3 linked regions of the Bombyx mori genome follow. The protein of the gene in region 1 purifies or fractionates together with the protein of each later gene. This does not show direct contact. Links are inferred from orthologs where the notes say so. Each region holds a gene or a part of one and is shown in the gene's direction. Other genes may lie near its edges. The genes, in order: FGFR1 oncogene partner 2 homolog, programmed cell death protein 10 and sarcolemmal membrane-associated protein.

Evidence for each region.
Region 2: the proteins of FGFR1 oncogene partner 2 homolog (region 1) and programmed cell death protein 10 purify together in Homo sapiens (affinity purification with mass spectrometry; 3 studies listed by BioGRID and IntAct, counting the BioPlex papers as one, with this or other methods). This does not show direct contact. The link is inferred for Bombyx mori from reciprocal best matches to the Homo sapiens genes FGFR1OP2 and PDCD10.
Region 3: the proteins of FGFR1 oncogene partner 2 homolog (region 1) and sarcolemmal membrane-associated protein purify together in Homo sapiens (affinity purification with mass spectrometry; 3 studies listed by BioGRID and IntAct, with this or other methods). This does not show direct contact. The link is inferred for Bombyx mori from reciprocal best matches to the Homo sapiens genes FGFR1OP2 and SLMAP.

What each region holds. Positions count from the first base shown.
Region 1 is NC_085119.1:12,364,401-12,368,667, forward strand, and holds the start of FGFR1 oncogene partner 2 homolog, read left to right. Parts: upstream 1-1,461; 5' UTR 1,462-1,662; intron 1,663-1,734; coding exon 1,735-1,869; intron 1,870-2,682; coding exon 2,683-2,934; intron 2,935-4,006; coding exon 4,007-4,135; intron 4,136-4,267. UniProt on the Homo sapiens protein: May be involved in wound healing pathway.
Region 2 is NC_085110.1:8,725,641-8,729,921, forward strand, and holds the start of programmed cell death protein 10, read left to right. Parts: upstream 1-1,404; 5' UTR 1,405-2,222; coding exon 2,223-2,294; intron 2,295-2,891; coding exon 2,892-3,069; intron 3,070-3,235; coding exon 3,236-3,368; intron 3,369-3,691; coding exon 3,692-3,853; intron 3,854-4,281. UniProt on the Homo sapiens protein: Promotes cell proliferation. Modulates apoptotic pathways. Increases mitogen-activated protein kinase activity and STK26 activity. Important for cell migration, and for normal structure and assembly of the Golgi complex.
Region 3 is NC_085114.1:11,213,282-11,216,936, reverse strand, and holds part of sarcolemmal membrane-associated protein, read left to right. Parts: intron 1-2,656; coding exon 2,657-2,773; intron 2,774-3,655. UniProt on the Homo sapiens protein: Associates with the striatin-interacting phosphatase and kinase (STRIPAK) core complex, forming the extended (SIKE1:SLMAP)STRIPAK complex.

The sequences.
Region 1 (4,267 bases):
AGCAATTAAAATACATTCAATTTATAACATACTACAGTAACTTCTACAAATTGTGATACAGCTTCGTGTCACGACAACTCTTTGGACACTTTTGACAGCAGCTACAAAATAATCCATTAATGATAATTACTACATACTACAAGTATATAATTTATGCATACTACTTAAGTAACAGATGGACTTTTTGGCGGGAACGCGAGGAGTGAAGTTGTGTGATTTTTTTTAGTTTGTCTGTTTAGTGTTTCTTCAGGTTTAAATGTGTAATAACGGTGGTTTATTAACTGTTTAGTATCTGTGAAGGTGCACAAATGTGGGAAAATGAAATAAAGCCGTTGGACGTAACTTCTCGAGATTATATTTCATCTCATATCATCTCATTTCATTTAATTTCATTTCATCCCAGTTGATGAATGTCTCAAATTAATCATCTTCATTTCATTTCACTCCATGTTATCATTTTTCATAAAATTTAGAATATAAATTAAAATAAGACATGACTTAAAGGTCATAATTACCAGGTCACAAAATCCCATAAAAAATCATATTTATTTTTATTTTAAATTATTATTTTGCTTAACGTTCTAATTTCTGCCAGTCAAGTTTGATGTTTTGAAGGGACGCCTTTACCTGTTGAAATCGATACTTTATTGGTGTTTTCATTTCACGACAGCTCACCTAGGATTAGTGGAGCATTTTTCAAGGCTTATTTTCTCAGGTTTTCCCATTTGTGGTACCTACCTACTTCTTCTTATGCCGGCCACTGTTTGCGCGCATGTGTAGGGCCGTCAAACATTCATTCGCAAACTTAGCTTTGCAAATGGGTTCGGTATTTAATTTGCGAACCCGTTTGCGCTTCTTCCTACACTTGTTTACGAATGTCTCACGAATTTCTCTTCCTTTTTAATTCGTCAATAGAACATTGACGAGAAAAAGAGTTTTGAATTCTTTCCCAGACATCATTAACAGCCATGCTGTTTTTATGGGATTTCTTTTGATGAAGATACGCTACACAGGAGACGCCACGAACTATGAAAATGACGATACGTCCATTACCTTCGCAATCGTCGGCGCAACTGGGCAAATGAATGTGTGGTAAACTCAATCCAGAGCCGTATGGTAGGTACGTGGGAAAAAAGATCTCTGGAAGCGCACTGTGATGAACGCTACTCTACTCCGGTGGCAGGTACGTTCAATGGTGTGTTTTACACTTCTACAACTTAAACTATTTTTGAAGCATTAGGATATTTGAATTAATATCCAGTGGCACGGTGATCTTACCATATAATCTGGTGATTTAAAATATTGTTGCAAGTTGAGGCATTTAAGCGGTGTAGGCAATGCTCATAATTTAAAAAAAAATTGTCATACCATGGACACCAAACTAATTTCAAATCTAATCGTAAATATGTTTTGTCTTTGTCGCTCTACAAACCTTTTTATTTGACAGAAGAGTTTCGACGTCATTTCAAGGTATTCTTTAAAATTGTCCGTATAATAAGTCGCTTCAAATCAAACATAATGAAAGCTAATGGCTGAAACTGTTCACGAAACAGCTGATGGTGCATCGTTCGATCTTCAATAAAAACTTGTTTCTTTCATTCTAGAGTGTAATACTATTTAGATGAAACCCCATTCGTTTCATTGTTTAGCTTTGAAATCAGGGTGTGTTAAACCGTGTCACGGATCAGTTTATGAAAGTAAATTTCTTGGTGTCTATATTGCTGGCTTTTTCAGATGTCACTGACTATCCAGCAAATAATTTTGGATGCAAAAAGGCTCGCAGGTCGTCTTAAAGAACGCGAAACAGAGGCTGATGCTCTGTTGAGCGAAACCCAAGCAACTTATCGACAAATTCATACAATGAAACAGGTAAGATTTTCTTATGCACTCTATTAATTTAAACAGTGTTAAAGAACTTAAACATTAGGCCCCATTTTCGAAAGAAAAAATGGTTTTATATTCGACGTTTTAACTTAAACTTAATGTGATTAGAATAATGATCTTGTTATTAATTCCAATCTAATATGATTGGATTGTATTGGTGACCTTGAGTTTAATTGTCAGTTTTGTAAACAACATTCAAACACGCAAGCTTTCACAAAGTTATGGTACCTTCAAAATAAAGAAGTTCTTTTTAATATTATTGGATAAAATACATAATATAAATAGAAACCAAAAATATTATTTTGGTCATAAATTTAATCATTATTTTTAATGACAATACTTATATAATATACGATATTTTACACGTAGTACACGCCAATAACTTAACGTAGCGTTTTATTTTATTTTAAAAACCTTAAATTTTGTACTATTACTGTAAATTGAATCTGGGATCTGTAATGATATGTTTTGCGAACAACACATCTACTTTACTAGAGTTTCAATCAATACTAATAAGAAAATGATATTATGTCATAAACTCATCAAATTACTTATTTATGTGATTATATTTAGCATTTAGATAGTGGTCATATAGAGTAGTAATTTGGCATATTGAATGATTTATTGTGGTCTACTCAATATGCCTAACATAAACAAAACGAAATTTGTTTTTCCTGTACTTGTATTTCTGCTATTTAAGTCAGTGTAATAATTCTAATCAGTTTATTTGTTTATTATAATCCTTACTTCTGACAAACATGTTATGATGTCATTCTAAATTATAACTATTTTCTTTAGTATAAAGAAGAAGTTGATACATTAAATGAGGCATCACGAGAGAGACCAAGAGGGGCTCTCATCGCCAGCATAGAGAGAGAGTCTCAGCTCATGAGGGGTGTGCAGAGGGAGAATGGTGAGCTCAGAGCTGCACTAGAAGATCACAGACGAGCCTTGGAATTAATCATGTCAAAATATCGACAGCATACAGAGAAGAAAATATGGGAGTCAAGAATAGATTTCACCTCAGCTATAAATGAGAAACAACAAGAGGTTTTTTGCTTTTATGACATAGAATCCTTACTATTTTTGTGTTATGTTCCTTTTTATCAAAGTATTTCACAGTAGATTTTCCCAAGAAATCAAATTTATAACAAATGTAAAAATCTTTAAAGTAAAGAATGCTTGGTACTCAAATAAAGTACTAGTGTCAAGCATTGCTAATATATCAATATTTTAATTAAACAAGCAGATACTGATTTTGGAATGCAGTCTACAATGTAGGAATAACATTCTGTAATGTGTAAGTGGGTACCAATTTTTCTAATGAAATACGTACTTAACAAAATGTTCGCGATTGACTTCCACGGTGAAGGAATAACATCGTGGAATAACAATAAATAGAAATCAAACCCGCAAAATTATAATTTGCGTAATTACTGGTGGTAGGACCTCTTGTGAGTCCGCACGGGTAGGTACCACCGCCCTGCCTATTTCTGCCGTGAAGCAGTAGTGCGTTTCGGTTTGAAGGGTAGGGCAGCCGTTGTAACTACACTGAGACCTTAGAACTTATATCTCAAGGTGGGTGGCGCATTTACGTTGTAAATGTCTATGGGCTCCAGTAACCACTTAACACCAGGTGGGCTGTGAGCTCGTCCACCCATCTAAGCAATAAAAAAAAAAAATAAGAACTCCTGCCAAAGTACTAATTTGCATTATTACTGGTGATAAGGCACCTTGTTATCCTACATAGGTAGGTACCACCATTCTGCCTATTTCTGCCACAAAGAAATGATCCGGCCTAGAGAGTGGGAAAGCTGTAAAACTTTATGTATTTTATATGCTGTTCTTTCCAATGAGATATAGATTTCAAGTATCAAGGTGTGGTCTGCATTCACATTGTAATGACTGTTAGGCACTAAATGCCAAATGGGCTGTGATTTCATTCACTTGCAAATACTATAAAAATAAAGATCATTCACGGCAAGTGAATTTTTTACCACAAGCAAGCCTTAAATCGATTAGTTTAGTTTCATGTTTTTACTTTAGAATATTTTGACATATAGAAGGCATATCACTCAAACATGATAATAAATTCACAGAAGAAAAATATCTTATGTTTCAGTTGATACGCCAGCAAGCAGAACGAATCAATGAAATGACAACTGTTATGTACAAAGCAATAAATATGGACGAGAATAGTGAAGCCAGGAAGGATGAAGAGCTTTACCAAAGGCTCATTACTGAAAACAAGGTAAGAAGTTTCTAAAGTATTGTACAACATAATATGGTTGATGGGGCTTTCTTCTCCACACACAAATGCTACTTAATTATGAAAGTATTCCATCAGCTTATTTGCTTATAGTTCATAGATTTATTGCAGGTT
Region 2 (4,281 bases), on another chromosome or scaffold:
GTAAGAGACAGAATTTGAACTATCTACATCATTTAAACTTTGGGCAGATAGTGGAATAGATGATGTTATTTGCGAATATGATTTCTTTACAATAGGAAACAATTTAGAGGCTTCTTGGTATGAAATGGGGTTTTGAGACATATGTTTTTTAATATTTGTTTGTCTACTAAACTCAGGGCAAGATTTGTTTGTAGCCATATGTTCACCTCTACAGTTAACACAAGAAAAAGTCTCAGTATTACAAGCCAGTCCGCTGTGCTCTCCAGCACATTTATTACATCTAGGTTTGCTCCTGCATTGAACACGAGTGTGTCCAAAGCGACAACAATTGAAACATTGTACCGTTGGATAAATATACTGTTCAACTGGAATACTTGAAAAAAAGGAATACACTCTAGAGGGAAGAGACTGTCCGTCAAAAGTCAAGACCACAGTTTGAGTAGGAATCCATGAAGTTCCATCTGAGTTGACAGACTTCCTGTTTAATCTACGGGATTTGATAATTTGTCCATAGCCTTCTGGGATTTGCAGATTGTCTACAATGTCCTCATGAGTCCACTCCTGAGGGATACCCTTTATCAAACCCATTTTACATATATTATATGTAGGAATCACTGGAATCACAATGGATTCATAGACATGTTGGATATGAAAATATTGGCATCACTATGTGTTTTAAAAGTTATTGCCAGGCGATTACGACCTACTCGTTTAATTCCATCCTGTAAGATATTACCAAGATTGCTTTTCTTTAGAAAATTTCCAAATTTAAGTGGGTGCAGTGATGTAGTACTATTAGAATCTGAGATTAAAGTAACATGGACCATATATGGACCAGGATCCTGTTCAGTGTATTTTTTTCTGTAAACAGAGTCAGCCATTGGGGTCTCAGATGGTGTCATAGAAGGACTCGCTGAAGTAGGCTCTGGTGAGGTCTGTACAATTTGGCGAGGAGGCACTATAAGCTTATTTACGTTATTTGCAAGATTTCCCGCCAAAGCCTGCTGCAGCGGGCGCAACGAAAGTTGTTTGTCCGAGATCTTTGGTTTAAAAGAATTAACAAGTTTCTTTTTTTGGGATTTCTTCGATTTAACGTTGACAAATTCAGATACGTTGGAAAGGTCGAACTCATCACAGAAAAATATTGGTTGGCTAAACCTTGAGTTAGTCGTATCAGTTGTCTCCTCAGTAATATTCGGATCCGGGGGATCCGTTCCCGCCTCCAACTCCATACTATCTACGCTAAAGTACTAAAATATACAATTATAAACTAAACATATATACAGTTATAAACTAAAATATGCTACAATATCTACAGAATATCAAATTAAATTAGTTAAAAAGGATATGAATTTTTTAATTGGCCCTCTTCTCAAGTTCCGTCCCAAATTTTTTGAAGGTTCCCGCCTCTCTCAATCTGTGGTTCAATGAGTGAAATCGTATTTTTTTTTTATTGATCTGGTGAAGAGGCAAAGAAACTTTGATCATACTCCTAAATTTTTATTAAATATTAAAATATTAAAGCCATGCGTCAGTTGTATTGTCATGGTCTTTTCATGAAAACCCTAAAAACTATGCCTATGATATTTTCTTGTAATTTTCAAAGTACAAAGGATTTAGCTGTAGGTGCTTACATTTCGTTTACAATGGACTAATCAAACAAGAAAATTCAATACGTTCACGTTGTTTGACTTTTGGCGGGAACGCGGGGCGAGAAGTTGTGTGAATTGTTTTATTTATTAAATTAGTCTTTCTTTGGGTTTCAATGTGTAATAGCAGTGGTTTATTAAATGTTTAGTACCCGTGAAAGGGCAAAAATGTGGAAAAATGAAACAAAGCCGCCGCGGCGCCGTGCTGGGTGTAGTTTCCCAGGATCTTCCAAAAAGTCTCAGTAAATAACCATATCACTCAGACTATACTTCATCCCAACTCATCTTGTTTCATTTACTTTCATCCTAATTGATTCATATTTCAAATTAATTAATTTAATTTCGTTCTCTTCATTTTTCATAAAAAAGGAACAATTTGGTTGTAAGGTGATACTTTCGCCTTTCCAGTTAGAAAAAGGGAAGTACTACCACTTGACATATTTCTCAAATTGTCACCAATGATTACAAAATTTACCTTCATTAATTAAACTGTTTTTATCTGATTGTTACTGGCCTACAATCATTGGGGTTTTATAAATTTCTTAGATAAATTGAAATATTTAAACTATCACAATGACAATGGGCGATGAATTGCCTGTGACTTCTTTGGTATTACCAGTTTTAATTCGCCCTGTCCTAACGCAGGTGAGTCGTTCTAAATCTACTTACATGTATTAAAATATGACCTTATCATTTTAGGCATTCTAATCAAGGTAACTTAACTATCAACTAGTTTCTTGGTAACCTCAACAAGACCCAATATCAGAATTAATAAAATGAATTGATCTTGTATCTTTTGTTTTACAGTCGTTAATAATAAAGAAACCACTGTAATATTGCTTTCATAACTTTATTCATATTTTGTTACTGGTTACTGGAGTTCTTAGAAAAAATATCATGAATACTGTTGCCCTAAACTTCAAGTCTCAATTGCCTGATACAAAAAGTTATCCGAGCAGGATAACTGACAGAGCAAGATAAAGCAGACATTGTTATTTCTTGGGAAAAATAAAATGGTACATGTGTGTTCATTTTGATCAATGTCGTCTTAGATTAGGTAGCAAATAGACGCAAAATTATAGGAATTTAAGGATGAAAATGGTGAAAATAGTAGTACTGTTATAGGAAAGGTAAGTATTAATAGTAGTATGTATTTTGTCGACCCAAGCAAAGTCGATAGCCAGATAGACTATTATTAATATTATTTTCCCACCTAAAGTATGTTTTAAAATGTGTTTTCAGCTGGAGAAATATGATCTGGCTGCCTCTCAGACATTACGAGCAGCTCTCACCAAAGCAGAGGCTGCAGTACCTGGTCTTAATTATGATTTGGTGGCAGGAATCATGAGGAGAGCAGATATTCCTGTTAATATGAATGAGAGCTTATTAAGATTACAAGGGAGTCTCACAGATTCAGAATGTATGAATTTATATTTTTTTGTATTTAGTTAACTTACAAGTTTATGATACTATTTAAAAAACCTTCAAGTTATGAAAACTGACCATTTTTCAGAAATAAAACGATAAAGACAAAATTAAAAAACAAACGATTTTACAATGTAATCTCAAGAAAGTTCTGTTTATAGGTACTGATTTAAGGCTGAACAGGACTGAAGAGGCATTTCAGGAGCTTAATAAGAAATCTGCTGCTTTGAAAAAGATACTGAGTCGCATTCCAGATGAGATAACTGATCGGAAGACTTTTCTTGAGACTATCAAGTATGTGCTGTAGAAAATGCAATATTGGTTGTATTCTTTAATATATCAACACTTGAAAGGCAAACATGACTAAGTGACAATGCGTGTACTTTACAGTAGACCAATTTAAAGCTGAAATACCTGAAAAAAATTCAATTTTAATGAATCTAGCTGTAGGATTGAAATGTTTTTAATATACCTAGAAATATATATTTTTTACGCATTAAATATGGTTATTGCCTATCATTTATGTACAAAGCAGTTATTATTGCTTAGTCACATTTGCCTTTCAAGCGTTGATATAATAATCAACATTGTAATAACCATAGTATATAATTTAACAGGGAAATAGCCTCTGCCATAAAAAAATTACTGGATGCTGTAAATGAGGTATCTACATATACTCCAGGTCCTGGGAAGCAAGTATTAGAACAGAGGAAAAGAGAATTTGTAAAATATTCAAAGCGATTTTCTACTACACTCAAAGAATACTTTAAAGAAGGACAGTGAGTATTTATGTCAATTAGTTACAATCGGAGATCCATTGTTTTTTATTTTTATTGCATTAGAGCAGTGATTCTGAACCTTTTTTTTGTTGCGGCACATATTTAACTATTTCAAAATTTGGCGGCACACAAAGAAAAAGATAAAAATTATTTACTTACTACCGAATCACATACATTTGCTAATTTTAACGAAAGATAAGGTGCAGTAACTACTATGCAACACCTTGTGAATCCCAACGATCACTAAAACAACACGTTTTGTACGAAAAAGTGGCAAGTGTGCGCCGACTTGAGACATATTCCTATTGCTATGCACGCCGCTTCATCATAATTTGGCACTAAGAAAAACCGCATTGCAAAGCAAATAATAAAATAATTTATTTTTTTGTGGATTTCAATATATACCTAGTCAGGTCAAAAATTCTGTC
Region 3 (3,655 bases), on another chromosome or scaffold:
TTTCATTAGAAAAATTGGTACCAGCCTGGGATTCGAACACCGGTGCATCTTTCAACACGAACGCACCGGACTATCCTTTAGGCCACGACGACGTAAAAATGTGCGACAATCATGTTCAATGACCGTGTTAAACTCACTAACTGTCGGTAACTCTGCTTTTGCTGTTGAAGACAAAAATATATACCTGGGACAAACAGTCCGGTTAGATAAGTCCAACTTCGAGAGGGAGGTCAGTGGGCGGATCCAACTCTGTATTTATTATTCTTCATAATTTCCTTGTCGAGAACGGATATCTTACACCTTGTATAAATTTACAAAGTAACACATTTACGCATTACATTGGCGCATTTACGTCGTAGATGTCTATGGGCTCCAGTAACCACTTAACACTAGGTGGCCTATAAGCTCGTCCACCTATCTAAGAAATAAAAAAGAAGACATCGCTGGAGTGTGTGAATGACGATATGAGAGCGAGAGGAGTGAGTGTTGAGCTGACGGCTGATAGCAGGGAATGGAAGAGAAAAATTAGCTGTGCCGACCCTACCTAGTGGGATAAGATGAAGAAAAAAAGGGTAGACAAATGGGCTCTTACGAGCTGGACGGACGACCTGCTAAAGGTCGCGGGAATCCGCTGGATGCAGGTTGGGCTAGAACGGTAATTGTGGCGAACCTCGAAGGGGACATAAATGCCGCAGTGAGCGGCTATGGGCAGTTGAAAAAAAAAACAAGTCAACCAAGTCTTCATTCTACGTACGTTAAAAGATATAATTAAATTACATGTTAAGTGATGAATTTCGACATTAGTATATATTCTACTTTTCTTTTAATACATTGTTATTTATAGAAAAAAAAAAAAGATCATTGAACAAGTGTTTGGTAAATCCGAAACGTCCGCATTGTTTCCTATTCTTCTTTAACAAACGCGCATACCATTGTAATCAGTCCCGATCTTTTTTAAAACGATCCTAAGAATGCGAGAACGCTCTTGAGTAAATTTCAAAAGGTATCGTTGAATAAAAACTGTTTAGTATTTCCATTGTCGTCGCGTCCATTGCATTTATCCATAATTTACTTTGTATGCTACTCGACGTTCTGTCTGCCTGCTACTGTTGACATAAAATCCAACTTGTTCAGATGCCTCAAATTCTAATAAAACATATGAACGTATTCTTCTATACTTCATTAGAATATTTTTGTATAATGTTTATTTGTCTACTTATCAACTGTGCACATAATAGTTTTTGATCATTATAATTGACGTAAAAGAATAATAGTCTTTGTGACGGGTTCCTTATCTCACCTGGTTGATGTCACGGATTGTTTGTTTGGCTTATATCGTATAAACTTGGATTCCTTTTCGACACAATGTCATATACATAGATCGAAGTGTAAATGTAGTCATTTGGCATAATTTTTCACTAAAGATATTGAGAATACAAAGATTATACTGAATCATTTTTAATTGTTATTATTGCATTGCATTCGATTCATGTAAGTTCTTTCAAACGTCTTATAAACTATCAAAGACCTTCTGCAGTTTTCTTTGTTGTATCTGATCGTATTTATAAAGAAGATAAGAATTACTCGTTGAATCTTGAGTCATCGTGACCCCGGGTGCTTGAGATGGCAATTGCGCAGTGGCAATTAAATCAAATTATACTATTTCTGACATCGCATCTGTACAACTAACAGCGTCAGTAAGGAAGTTGTTGTATCTCCTTATCTCATACAGGAAGATGCTATAACATTCAAATGATTGTACAAATGGAAAACTATGAACATAAGTACCATAAATGTATTCAATTGTTTTTTTTTTTTTTTTTTTTTTTTTTTTTTTTTTTTTTTCAACTGATTTAGTGTTCTTTCGAATCTATTTCTGATTTGAAGTTATAATTGTACAAAACATTTAAACTTCATTGTTCCACAGCGTTATAATTTAATGTGCTCGTATGATAATAACGTGTAATAACATCACATGCATCGCTAAAGTAAATAGTTTTAATATCTGAGTCATGAACGCAAACATGAATTGATTACGAAGCTAATTTATAACTATAAACCAAACGCCACTCATCTAATTAGTTACATAACGTTTACTAGTTTAATAGTAAATATATACTATAATAGTAATGTTTCTGGGATTCGGGCCTCTAAAGGAATTATCACTATGATAATAAATTTGTTTGTTTAGACGGAAACTGCGATACTTTAAGACAAATAGTTTTTTTGTATGGAAACTATCGACATCTTGTAGCGGATACCCCTGTACTTATTTATAAATGTTGTTAAAGTTAAGACATTTAATTATTGTGTAAACTAAACACAGAAAAAAAAAACAACATGCAAGTCATTATTTGTTATAGACAAACTGATTAAATTTTATCAATTAGTGGTTTCTGAAAATTTACATAATCCTTCATTAAAAATAAAATATAGGATAGGTAATATGTTACTGCCATCTATAGAAGCAATGAGAAACTAATCGGCCATCTAGAGGCCGACACCCGTAAACATTTTTGTTGAGTGCTTGATTTGCTTATCTATAACTTAGTTTATGTGTATTATCTATGGAAATTAGAGTTTCGACTGTTTGTATTGTACAAATCTGTCTTATAATTATTTTATTTATATTAATTGTTTTATGAATATTCTGCAGATTGGACGTAATGTCTACCGTGCAGCGGCGAGTCCTACTAACGCCATATTCGAATGTCGGGTTCTGTCGAGGCAGCATGCCACACTGTACTACGAAAAGGGACACTTTTACCTTGTGGTAAGTTGATGATCGTGATAATAACATAATCAAGTCTAAAAAAAACAAACTACAATATCATATTCGACATTAAATTCTCTAGAAGTGTTGGTCATGTTGTTCTTTAATTGTTTATTTTTATTACACATACGGAATATGGTAAGAATGTAAACAACATCTTTAACTTAGTAGTGCAATGTGTACCAATTGCTTTTTTTTTAAATATTGGTACTGTTCTCTGTTTGCACGGCTTAAAGGACAGAATCCAGGGCCAGAATCATGCTATAATTCCTATCCGTCAGTCAGCTCAACCACGCGTTTAGTTCAATAAAAATTCAATAGGATTTTCGCTTTTGACATCACGACTGTGCGAACGTTGTGAAAACTGTTACAGTTATGATAGCATAAAAGTTATGCACGTTACGAAATTGAAGTCATCAATTCATTCTACATTTGAAATTATGAGTGGGCCTTGTACCACTTATACGTGCTATAGTTCTGTAACGGACTACTCTCACTGATTCCGCCCACGGCCAATAATTATTCTAATCATGTCATTTCAATAATGTATGGTTAGTTGATGTTTTCATTAATTCCTTATTTTATTGCCTTTAAAACGTTAAACCTCACCCAATTGTGGGATCGTAAGTTTTATATTTCATCATAGTTATTACCTTTTGGAATTTGCTTTTAGAAACGCTTATCTTAATCTAAGCAAGCAGTTGCTTACATAATCATAGACATATTTACTTTGTCTTTGTACTGTGCCTTGTATCAAGTTTTGTTTGTGGGGAAGTCAAGAAAACTCCCAGTTACGTATTATGTTTCAAAATACGATATAGGTATACAGCTGCCGCCTTAACCGATGGCCAGCACTGACCATCTGGTGTCTGCTGTATCATT